3 linked regions of the Diceros bicornis minor genome follow. The protein of the gene in region 3 interacts with the protein of the main gene of each other region in a pairwise test. Links are inferred from orthologs where the notes say so. Each region holds a gene or a part of one and is shown on either strand. Other genes may lie near its edges.

What was found.
Region 1: the proteins of AP4B1 (region 3) and ZNF576 interact in binary tests that used the Homo sapiens proteins (3 or more experiments, as listed by UniProt). The two-hybrid records come from large-scale screens. The link is inferred for Diceros bicornis minor from reciprocal best matches to the Homo sapiens genes AP4B1 and ZNF576.
Region 2: the proteins of AP4B1 (region 3) and TEPSIN interact in binary tests that used the Homo sapiens proteins (3 or more experiments, as listed by UniProt). The link is inferred for Diceros bicornis minor from reciprocal best matches to the Homo sapiens genes AP4B1 and TEPSIN.

The regions. Positions count from the first base shown.
Region 1 is NC_080773.1:18,203,917-18,207,661, forward strand, and holds the start of ZNF576 (zinc finger protein 576), read left to right. Parts: upstream 1-1,490; 5' UTR 1,491-1,829; coding exon 1,830-1,858; exon of another isoform or gene 1,859-2,227; coding exon 2,228-2,328; intron 2,329-3,439; exon of another isoform or gene 3,440-3,745. Other genes in the region: IRGQ (immunity-related GTPase family Q protein), read right to left, coding at 245-774. UniProt on the Homo sapiens protein: May be involved in transcriptional regulation.
Region 2 is NC_080757.1:60,682,676-60,686,420, reverse strand, and holds the start of TEPSIN (AP-4 complex accessory subunit tepsin), read left to right. Parts: upstream 1-1,097; 5' UTR 1,098-1,130; coding exon 1,131-1,178; intron 1,179-3,300; coding exon 3,301-3,373; intron 3,374-3,690; coding exon 3,691-3,745. Other genes in the region: NDUFAF8 (NADH dehydrogenase [ubiquinone] 1 alpha subcomplex assembly factor 8), read right to left, coding at 525-635, 792-875. UniProt on the Homo sapiens protein: Associates with the adapter-like complex 4 (AP-4) and may therefore play a role in vesicular trafficking of proteins at the trans-Golgi network.
Region 3 is NC_080743.1:46,664,961-46,668,705, forward strand, and holds the start of AP4B1 (AP-4 complex subunit beta-1), read right to left. Parts: upstream 2,636-3,745; 5' UTR 2,572-2,635; intron 1-2,571.

The sequences.
Region 1 (3,745 bases), on a different chromosome or scaffold from region 3:
GGCAGGAACTGGATGACAGATCGGGACTTCCAGCTGACCCTTGGCTGGGGGTGGGCCTAGACGTGAGAGAACAGTCAAGCAGGACCTGGATGAGGGAGCAGGACCTGCAGCAGGTATCTGGTTAAGGCTGGCCCCAAAGTCGCTGGGGTAGGGGGTCTCGCGGACCTCAAAGAGTCCCTTATCGGTGTGAGGTCTGTACTAAAGGACCAGGCCTCCCCAACCCACCCAGAAAATCTGCGCTCACCTCTGCAGCGCCTCCGCCTGGCTCCGCAGCGCCGCGCGCAGGCGCTCCAGCTCCTCGCAGCCGTCTCTGCTGCCGCAGTCCGCCGGCAGCACGAAGAGAGCCGCGGCCCCCAACCCCGCGCTGTCCAGCAGGGCCGCTGTCTGATCCCGGGCCTGGCCTTCATTCCGTGAATCCCCAGGACGGAGGTTCCGCACAGCCAGCAGCGGGGTCCCTCGGGCCAGGGCGGCCCGCGCTGCCTCCGCCAGCGCAGGGGCCAAGGGCTCCCCGTTCCCCTCGGGGCCTGGCAGCACCAGTACCAGCACGTTGGCCTCGGCCGCCCAGGGTCCCGGCGCTGCGGGTGGGCAGCTCAGCTCGCCCAGGAAGAGGCCTGGGCCCGCAGCTCGCAGGCTGGGGATCCCGGAGTCCGGCCGTCCGTCGGGGATTTCTACCATCTCCACAGCTTTGTCGCACAGCGCTGCGATCAGCGCAGACTTTCCCGAGCCCGGCGGCCCCAGGAACAAGGCGGTCACGTCACCCCGCGGCGGAGGCATAGCTGGAAAGCAAGGGGTGGGGAAGACGGGGGTCAGGGAGCCCCCAGCCTTTGTCTTTTCTAGCCGCCCCAGTCTGGCGTCAGACGTCAGTCCTCCACCCTGTTCCCTTCTTCCATTCTCGGGTGTCACTCCCAGGGACCTGGGAATCCGGCGCCCAGACCCTATTCCCCAGGGACCCAGGCGTCCTTTCCGCTCTCCTTCTAGATATGTTTCTCTCTCTGCTTCGAAAACTCAGAAATTCGGCCTCCAGCCCTCTCCTCTCTCAAGGGTACAGATGTTCCCCCCCACCCCCTTCCGAATCACTAACCGAGCCAACGGCCGGCACAAGGGAGAGCGCAGCTGATGGAGGCTGGTCAGCCGCTGAGCACCCCCGCCCCTGGAGTCCGGCGGACGGAGGCCGAAGAGCCTAGAGCGCGGGGATTTGGGGATGTCCAGACACGTCCCGGGGACTCTAACCTGACGTCACTCCTTTTAGGAGGGGGTGTGTCTTGGAAGCGTGATCTCGGAGCACAGCCGCAGCGCCTGCGCAGAACGGCCAAAGTGCGTTCGCTCCCCAGCTCCGGCTGCCGCAGGGCCTAAAACAATGAGGGAGGCACAGCGCCTGCGCGCCAGGAGCGCCCAGCCACACCTGCGCAATGAGCTTAGGTCCTCACGGCACCGGTGGCTTGCAACGTCATCATAACGCATCCCAGTGCGGAGAAGGACCCCACCCGTTATTTTGAGGGCCGGTTGGCGCGACTGCATCATTGCCGGATGGCAGTCCAGGATCTCGGTTTCGAGAGGCTCAACAGGCGAAAGGGCGTGGAAACCACCGGGACTTGGAGACTCGGTGGGCCCTGTCCTGCTCCCCTCCGGGTGGCGGCGCTGTGACGAGCGACTGACAGGCGCAACGAAAGGCAGCCCTGTGCTGTCTGGAGAAAAAGCAGAGGCCTGGGCTACCCGCCTCGGGAGGAGGGAGCCAAGGGCAGTGCTGGGAGCAGCGGGACACGGAGGCTGAAAGCGCGTGGGAGGCGGGGGCTCTGGGTGGAACAAGAGTTAGAGGATGTCAGAGAAGGATGTCTCCTGGGAAGAGGCGAGCTAAAGCGTGGGTACCACTACCTGCCTCAAGACACGTGGGAGAAACGGGAATGAGGCTGATGTCAAAGATCAAGGGTCCTGCGCTGAGTTCAGGAGTTAGTTTGATGTAGAAGGTCATAGGTCTCACACAGGTGAGAAGGCTCTAAGGGGAGTCACAAACCCCGGGGAGTCAAATGGTTTGGGAGGGTTGAAGCTTCTCTAGGGAGAGCTCCATCAGGTTAGAGTTCAAGGAGATGGTATCTGGTGGGGGTCCAAGGCTGGCAAGGAGAGCCTCTATGTCAAAGGTCATAGGATTAGCGGGCCCTCTAAGGCTGGCGAGAGATGAGCGACTTCACTTGATTTACTATTCTATCATCCGTGCTCCTCTCTTGACCAGAGGGGTCCCAGCCACCATGGAGGACCCGCACCCCAAAGAGATCATGGAGCAGCAGGATTCGTCCAGGGAAAGGAGTCCCAGCAGTCCAAGAGGCGACATCTGTGAGTACTGCTGGCCAGAGGAGGGTGGGGTGCAGGAGCTGATGCTAAGAGAATTTCTATAGCATTTTAGTGTCCAAGGTGCTGCAGGGACTTGCCTGTTGGGGTCCTGCCCTACCAGGAAGTGCCACTCCTCACCTTCACCCCCATTACGCTCAGATGTCCCCACCCTGCTCTGTCCACATAAGCATGAGTGGGATGCATTTCAGAGAGACAGAGTGGCATCAAGAGGCTTCGGGTGGGAGATGCAGCTGGGAGAGGGCAGAGACTGTGAGAGGAGCCCTAAGGTTCCAGTCCCAACTCTGCCCCAGACTTCCATTGTGACTTGGGCCTCAGTTTCCCTATCAGTCAAAAGGGGTTGCCACTGCTCACCTCACAGGGCTGTTATGGGGATTAGTGACAAAAAAGGGGAAAGCTTGATATTAATGAAGGTAGCCAGTATGACATATAATAATAGCAACAGCTTCTTCTGAATTCTTATGATGTGCTAGGCGCATTCTAAGCGCTTAACATTCGTTATCCCATTCAGTCCTCCTAACAGACCCTGTAAAATTGGTTACTATCACTTGCAGAAGAGGGAACTGTGGCACAGAGAAGTATCCGTAACAATTGGAGGCAGTATCAACGCCCTCCAGCCAGAGACCACCAGAACACAGCTGCAGTTGCACAAGTTGGGTTTATTGCTCACTGTACTGAGGAAGTGCACACACACCATGGGGGCACTGTGGGGCACCTCAGTAGTAGAGCGTTAGGAAGAACTTATGATAGGATTTGGGCTTGTGATAGGTGATATGGGGGGGGCTCAAGGAAGAGGGGTTTGCTCTGGACTGGATGCTGCCAGGAAGCAGGGGCAATTGTATGGCTGGCCATCTTAATAACTCTCACCTAGAAGGAGGGTGGAACAAAGAGAGGCGCAAGCTGACTGCAGCAGCAGCAGCACAGGCACTCGTGTGAGCCAGGATGGGGGCGTCTGGTCATTTCTGTGGTTTGGACAACATTCACAGTTGTGTCTGCGTTCAGACGCTATTATGGTGTGGTCCTGTTGTCTTGATGCGTCTTAGCCACAGCATGGCCTTGTCTGACGACGTTCTGTGACACCGTTTATGTTCAACAGGAGACCACCAAGGCCAGCTCCCAGCTGTCGGGCTGCTTTTCTCTTTCTCAATAGTAATACTTGCAGACCACTGTGTAGCACTGTTCTAAGTTCTAAGCACTTTATATTAAATAAAAGTTCATGTACTCCTTCCAACAACCCTATGAGGCAGATACTGAGAGGGTTATCACCCCATTTGCCAGATGAGGAACCTGTTGTACTTGCCTAGGAAGTGGCAGAGCTGGGACTCGGTTCCAGGCAGTCTGGCCCCAGAGGAGTCTGGCTGGAAGGGCAGACTCCCTGGGTTCCAGTCTTGACTCCACCATT
Region 2 (3,745 bases), on a different chromosome or scaffold from region 3:
GGAGAACTTAGCCTGCCGTAGCCTCGGTGCTTAGACCGAACCTCGGATACATGACCTACAGATTCCCCTTCCACAAAATGGGGGTGTTGTACGGGGAAGTCGAGGGTGCGTGACTGCCCCTCAGTGTGTGCGCGGTGGCCCGTCCGTTGTAACCGCCTACACACAGCACGCCTGACGTCCTCAACACCAGCGAAGCTGAAACACGGCGAGTGCGAGGATGCCAGCTACCCAAGTCCCGGGTTGGGGTTCGTTTGGGCATCACCCCCCAGCGACAGTACCACGTACAGTGAGAAAGCGCTTTCGCACACACACCATCACCACCGTCACCCCCACGACGAGGCTGGCGCCCCCACGTGACAGACACCGGCATACAGCTCCGTGGCGGCGGGGATCGCGCGGGCGGGGGGGTCGGCGCGCGCGTCGGAAGCACCGGCAGGCGCCGGTCACCGGCCGCACGAGAAGAGAGGCGGACTCGTGGGGGCCCTGCTCCGGGTCCCCACACCAGGCGGGCGGCGCACACCTACCGCGGCGAGGAAGCAGCACCGCAGGGCCTTGAACTCCCGCGCGCAGAGATCCTTCCTCAGGTGGCCGCCCTGGGCCGTGGACGCCTGCACGCACCGGCCGTAGGCCGCGGCCTGGGGATGGGGAGAGGACGGGGATGGGCGAGGGTCGCGGCGGCAGTCACCGGGACCAGACCCCGCCCACGCCCCCCGGTCACCAGCGAGCGCCCCGCCGCCCTCCCGTGCGGCCCTTCCTGCCTCGCAGGCGCTGCCCCGCCCGACGCTCCTCACCTCGGCCCCGCAGGCCGACAGGCGCTCAGGGAAGGCGCGGAGGCGGCTTCGCACGCGCCCCCATACCGCTCCGTTCCCCGACATGAGCGGTCCTCCCGACACCCGTGGACGCCGCCATCTTAGGCCCGTCCTCTTCCGGAACCCAACAGCTGGATAGGTCGGCGCTTCCGTCCATAACCTTCCTGCGCTTTCTAATTGGCCAGGCTTCAGCCTCGCCTGTGCCTCTCCTCAGGGCCCGCCCCACGCGAGCAATTGGCCAGCGGGGCCAGACTCGCGCGGTGATTGGGGAGGGCCCGGGGCCTGGCGGAAGCGGGGCGGGGCCGGAAGGTGACCGGCATCATGGCGGGCACGCCGCCGCTGCGGGACCGCCTGAATTTCCTGCACCGGGTGAGTGCGGGCGGCCCAGGCTCTGCTGCGTGCCGCCTCCCCCGGCTCGCCCTGGGCCAGAGCCGCCCACCTCCCTGGACTCTCTCGGCCCCCGCCGGGTCACCGCGCTCCGGCGCCTACGGCTCCTCGGGCTCGGCGTCCCCACCATCCTCCTCCGGCTCCTCCGACCCCACTGTTCCCGACCTCTCCAACCCCCTCTAACCTCCTCCATCCTCTCCAGGCCTCCTCTGACCCCTCCAACGTCCTCTGCCCCCTCCGACCCACCCCCCACCCCTCCTCCCCCCTTCAGCCCCTCCCAAAGTTGGGGGACCCCACTCTGTGTACGTGGCACGGCCAGAACGCGCCAATCCTGCGTCAGGTCCCCTGGGGACACTCAGGCTTCTTGAACAGAACCCAAATTGGGAAAGATAGCAGTGGGACCCGAATTTGTTTTCTTTCTCAACTTAAAGCAGCTTCACAGAAAAAGGAATATAGTGAGCCCTGAACTGTGTCCAAGACCAACGCAGCCAGACACTAGTTTGGGAATCGGGGTGAACGTTTTACTCAGTGACTCTGACAGCAGGGCAAGCTCTGAACTCCATTCCGATTAGTGCGGAGAAGACTGGGCGTTTTAAAGGGAGAATCAGGGGAGAGTGGGGCTCAAGTGAAAAATGTTGAGGGGTTGGGCAGTGTCCATGGGATTCAGCCAGCTGTGTGTGCTGGCTGGCAGTTATGGAAGTTAGGATCCTGTCGCCCCATAGGGACTGGGAGACAAGCCCTGTCCTTCCTGATGGTTACAGTTTGAAGAATGGCCCTCAGGTCCTTGAGAGAGACACTCCTGAGTTGTAGGAAACCCACTTTCACAATACAGTGACATGTCACTTGATGGGGATATGTTCTGAGAACCGTGTCATTAGGTGACATGAACGCAGGGTGTACTTACACAAACCTAGATGACATAGCCTACTACACAGCTAGGCCATATGGTGCCGATCTTATGGGACCACCATCCTACGTGTGGTCTCTCATAGACCGAAACATCGTTATGCGGTGCCTGACTGTAAATGCTCCAAGAAAGAAAGGTCGGAAGTTTGGGGCCTGTCTCCAGGTGTTGACCAGGGTGAACCATAAAGTCTCCTGGCACCTTGAGCTTCCTCCATCATTTCAGGGGGCTGAGATCATCCTCATGCTGTTAGAAGCCCCCGGTCAGTTCTCTCAGTGCAGAGGATCCTCACATGCTGAGAGTTCTGCCGTCCTCTCCAGGTCCCCTTTGGGTCTTGGTGGACGAGTAATGTAAGTAGTGTGTGCACAGGCTCACGGGACACTCAGGCACATGTGTGACACCAGATAGCTGTCGTTCAAACTCTAGTCTGTGGCCAGCCCCTGACGGAATTGTTCTGAGTACCCCAAGGTCTTCTATCCTGTCTACACCAAGGCTCACGCCCCCACATGCTGAATGATGTGGGAATGAATGGGCGTTTCTGGTGTTCATCCCTGGAGACCCTATGTCTTTGTGTTGAGTGAGCACATAGCATCAATACGTTTGTGCTAACAAGTAAACATAAGACGCAACACAAGTCAGTTGTTCTCCCTGTGGGTTGTTTCCTTGGGGTCCGTCCCCAGAAGTGGAGCCGGGGGTTGGTCAGCCTCAGTGGTTATGTCACACTGCCAATGGGTGCTCTGGAAAGACAGAACATTCCCAGACCCCTGCGTGGGGAAGGGGCTCACCCTGTGCTTTCTTGTTTTTGCCGGTCCGTAAGTAGATACATTAAGGGTGCCTTTAAGTCCTCTTGCACCTCTATAAGTGGAGAGGCCTGGGAGCTATGCCACATCCTGAGCCAAGCATAGCAGTCCATCACCGTGGAGACCACCACTGATTGCCTCTTCCCCGGCATCCATCCCCAGTCGTCCAGAAGGGAGGCTCCTGCAGGCTCCCTGTGGCTGGTGAGACCACTGCCGTCCTCTTCAGCCCCTTACCAGATGGTGTGCCAACAGCGAGACGTGTGCGCACCGGTGCTCCCAGGAGCCCCGAGAGCTAGGACTCCCACAGCCACTCAGGAATGGCTGGCCCTTTGGCGCCCATGGGCTCATCTCTGTGTACAATGGTCACTCATCATGGGCAGGGGCTCTCACTCACTTTCAGCTCCCGACTCTCCTGAAGGGAACATCGGATGATGACGTCCCGTGTCCAGGCTACTTGTTTGAGGAGATTGCCAGTATCCTTCCTCGTCCACATGTGGGGGCCCTGGAACAGCATGCAGGGTTCTTGGGGTTCTCTTATCCTGAGGGGGTCCACAGCTTCTTTATCATAGTAACCAAGTGCGGGCGAGGTCTAAAAGCCACATTACCAATGACACGGGGCCCAGGAGACCCTAGAACCCGACGCTCCTGAAACCAGGGCCCAGAGTGGTGCCTGCAGGAAGGACGCACCGAGAAGTCCAGTGGCAGCAAGGCCCAGTTTCCCTCCCTGACCACCGAGGCCTAGTGTGGCCTGAGGTCAGCTTGCTCCTTCCCTAACCCAAGCACCTCCCAGAAATCTCCCACGAGTCCCTGGGCAGCAGCCAGTGCCTCCTTGAGTATCTTCTGAA
Region 3 (3,745 bases):
GATTCCTTCTTATAGGTTCAAAGGATTTTTCCATGTTCTGCCTCCTATCCTTTACTTCAAATCTTCACTCTCATGTGGTTTTCCCAGTTTTACAACTGTTGGCTTCTACCTGAATTCTCTTTTTCCTCCTGGCCCCTTGGATTCACTGCTTGTTTGGATGGTTTGCCTAGGTTTGTGACTCAGCCTCTCTCAAGACACAGCCTTTGGTGAGCTTCTCCTCCTTGGCCTTAAGTACTGCAGCTCCTGAGCAAGTCACTTCTTGTCTGCAACAATGAATCTAGGCTCTAGGCCCTAGGGGGATGTCATACCCTAGATGAGACTTCAATGCTTCCAACTAGCAACAGCTCCATCCCCCTCTCCAGCTGCTCTGACTTTGTCTGGGAGGAGATAGTTCACATATCTGCCTCCCTCTCTCCGTGTTCCCTGCTGGATCAAACCCTCATCATAGTTTCCTAGTTAGGCTCTCTTTCTCTAGTCTTCACCCACTCTAGCCAGCTATCCACCTCCCTGCTGCCACCAGATCTCTCTTTAAGCATAGATTCCCTCATAATACCTGTCGGATCAAACCTCTAATAGCTCTTCATTGCCTTTCAAAAATCTAACTCAATCTACTTTATGAATTCCATATCCTGCCACTTCTCTGCTGAACTGTAAGCTCTTTCAGGGGATGGACCATGCCTTTTCTTCTTTGTATCTTTAACTTCTAATATAGTGCCTGGCACACAGAAGATACTCAATAGATATTTGCTGAATGGACAAATGAACTCCAGCTACATTAAACTCTGAAACTTCTTTGACCATACCACGCTCAAATAGTGCCTTCTCTGAATGTGTTCCCTGACTCCGTCATTCAAATCTTATATATGTCCCCATGCTTTTTACTCCTCACTAGACTGTAAGCTCTCTGAGCGAAAAGACCAAGTCTTTTTCATCTTGCATCTCACCCAGTGTCTAGGAGAGTGCCTGGTGTAGAGCAGGCACACAAGTAGTTTGTTGGATGACAAATGAATGATATCAGAGAGAGGAAACTACTGGATTTTAAGAAGTCTTGTGGTGAGATAGACTGAGGAAATGACCTAAGAACAATGAAAACAGAGATCAACAAGTATAAATAAATAAGGTACAAATAAGTAAATTAAGTAGTCAGATGGTGACGCAGAACTGAACAATTACAGTAAAGTGGGGGTCAATCAGGAAAGGCTCCCTAAAGGTGAATTTTGAGATGTATTTGAAAAGAGGAAAGAAAGATAATTTGGACAAGTAGAAGCTTAGCAGCATGTCATGGAGTTAGGTTGAACCAAGGCATGGGAAGCGATGTGTGTGTTTCAAGTCTGCTTTTGGAGCAGGATCTGTTCTACCCCAGAACTCAAGTTCTGCCTTTTTCCTGGCTCCCCACACAGGCCTACTGGCCCACTCTATATGTCTTGATGTTTCCCAGGTCACCCCGATGTAGGTCTCTGTGTTCGCTAAGTTTTTGTGAAAATAAACAAAACTACCCTGTGGGATTGAACACTTTTGCTAACCCTAGTCCTCTAGGGAAATAAACTTCCCTGTGCCCAATAAAATAGAACTGCTCCCAGTGTTGCTAAGCCAGGCGAGAAACCCAAAGGTAGTACAACCACTTCAGCACATCTTTACAAAAATTACCTTTTTGTGAGGAGATGGGGATCCAGAGGTCAAGGATGTATAATGAATGAGATCTGAGAAATACAGTTTGATATCAGAATCTTGTCTCAGCCACATCTGCCCCCCCTCCTCAAAGAGTACATGCAAAAACCTATGGTGCTGGACAGTCACTTTTAGGGCTCAGATCATTGCTGCCTCCAGCACTTGTGGGATAGAAAAAATAGATAGATTATACCACCTGTCTCCCTAAAAATGTCCCCCACTTTAGGAATTAGAACATTTTACACCGCAGGAGGTATATCTGAAGTCCTACAGAATCTCTTGACCTTGGGAGATGGCAACTGTCCTTTTAGTAGGGTAATCTAGTTGTCACGCAGTGTCCACTTTTTTTCAGAATGTTATGTGCCCAATGCATTCCATTTCCTGAATATCCAGCCTTACTATCTCCTGGTGGAGTCAAGAAAATTATGGTAGCATTTGCTCACTGCATGTTTTGAGGGGTTGGGTTCAGAGCACAGCTACTCTTTCTCACCTCTTAATGCAAACACAGGTTTCCAAGGCAGCAATGGGTGAGCCACTAAGGGGCACTTATGTTCTTGGAGGCTTACAGATCCCATACACGGATGTCACTCTGCTAGAACGTCTCGACATGGCAACGAAACATTAAAGCCTAAACTGAGGTAATTCCTCAACCAGTAGGGGGGCTTCCCAGGTAGGCACTGCCTCCTCGCGCGCTGCCCAATCTCTGGGGGTGTCACACCAGACTGTGGTGATGTCACACTGGCTGGACCCCCTACCGCCACCAAGCACCTTTAAATCACCGCGGAGTCTGCCGCGCGGAGGGGTCGGGGAATCTCGCCCCCGCACTCGGTCCAGGCTGGCTCCCCACGGAGGGACCCCCATCCCCACCCCCACGCTCACCCCCACTCCCACTCCCACTCCCACCAGTACTATGCGGTAGTTCTCATCCGTCCGCTCCTCGGCACTTCCGCCTCAGTAGGTGTCATGGCGCGGGGCGGGTGAAGAGTTCCCGCGAGGCGGGGCCGGCCGGATGGGGGCGGCCGCTCGGCGCTCAGCTCATCGGGTCTGGCGACAACGGCGGCTGCGGAGCGAGGGGCCCGGAGGTGGCCCCGGGCGGCAGCGGGAGGCCGAGGCGGGAGCGCGCGGGGCTGAGGCGGCGGCGGCGGCAAGAGGCCGGGCGGCGGAGCGGGCGGGAGGCTGAGGGGGCTCCCCCCGCGGGACGGGCGCGGGGACGGCTCCGGGGGGCGGGGGCCGGGGCCCGGGCCGGCTCGTGCGGGGGGTATGATGACCCGGCGGCGGGGCCCAGGATCTCGTCTCCTCCGCCGCCTCCTCACGGCAGCCCCAGCTCGCGGCTGAGAACCAGACACACCGGCGGTGAGTGGGGACGGGCGGGAAGGGGTCTCGGCAGGGAGCGACCTCCTATCCGCTCCCCGAGGCGGGGCCGGACCGGCCCGGCCTGCGGGGGGCGCTTCCCTCAGCTGGCCCCCATCCGGACCCGGCGCCGCCTCCTGCGGCCCGGCCCCTCACGGCCGCCGAGGGGATTGCGTTCCCAGGAAAACCAGGGAGGCTCCGGGCTCGTTTTCGGGGCAACTCCCCCTGTCTCCTGCCACTTCTCTCCTGGGCGTGTTGTTGTCCTCAAATGACAGGAGGCCGCCTTGCGTCTCCTCATCCGGCCGGTTTTTTTCCCGGCTGTCGTGGCAGGGTCTCAATGTGTGGCTTGTGCGTGTGTATTTCACAGCTCTGCTTATCACCATGGTTTTGGGTGATCTGTGCTGTTTGGGACCAGGAAGCGGTGTCTGGAAAGGACGGAGGTGGTGGGGTGGGTGTGGGAGCTTTCCTATTCTCTCCGCGAACGCTCTGTAATCGTGGTTTGTAATTTGTAATGGTGGAGACTCCATGGGACCAGCCCACCTAATGTATATCTGTGCAAGGCACATCTAGAGGTCTGGCTTGGGGGGAAACTTTTGCTGTCTGTCGCCACTTTCCCAAAGCTTTCGTTAAAAAAAAAAGAAAAAAGGTGAGGAAACAACCAAAACTCTTGGGTAAGGCCTGCACTGTTCACGGATCTGTGAGAAAGAGGCCCTTTTTTGTGCCTAGC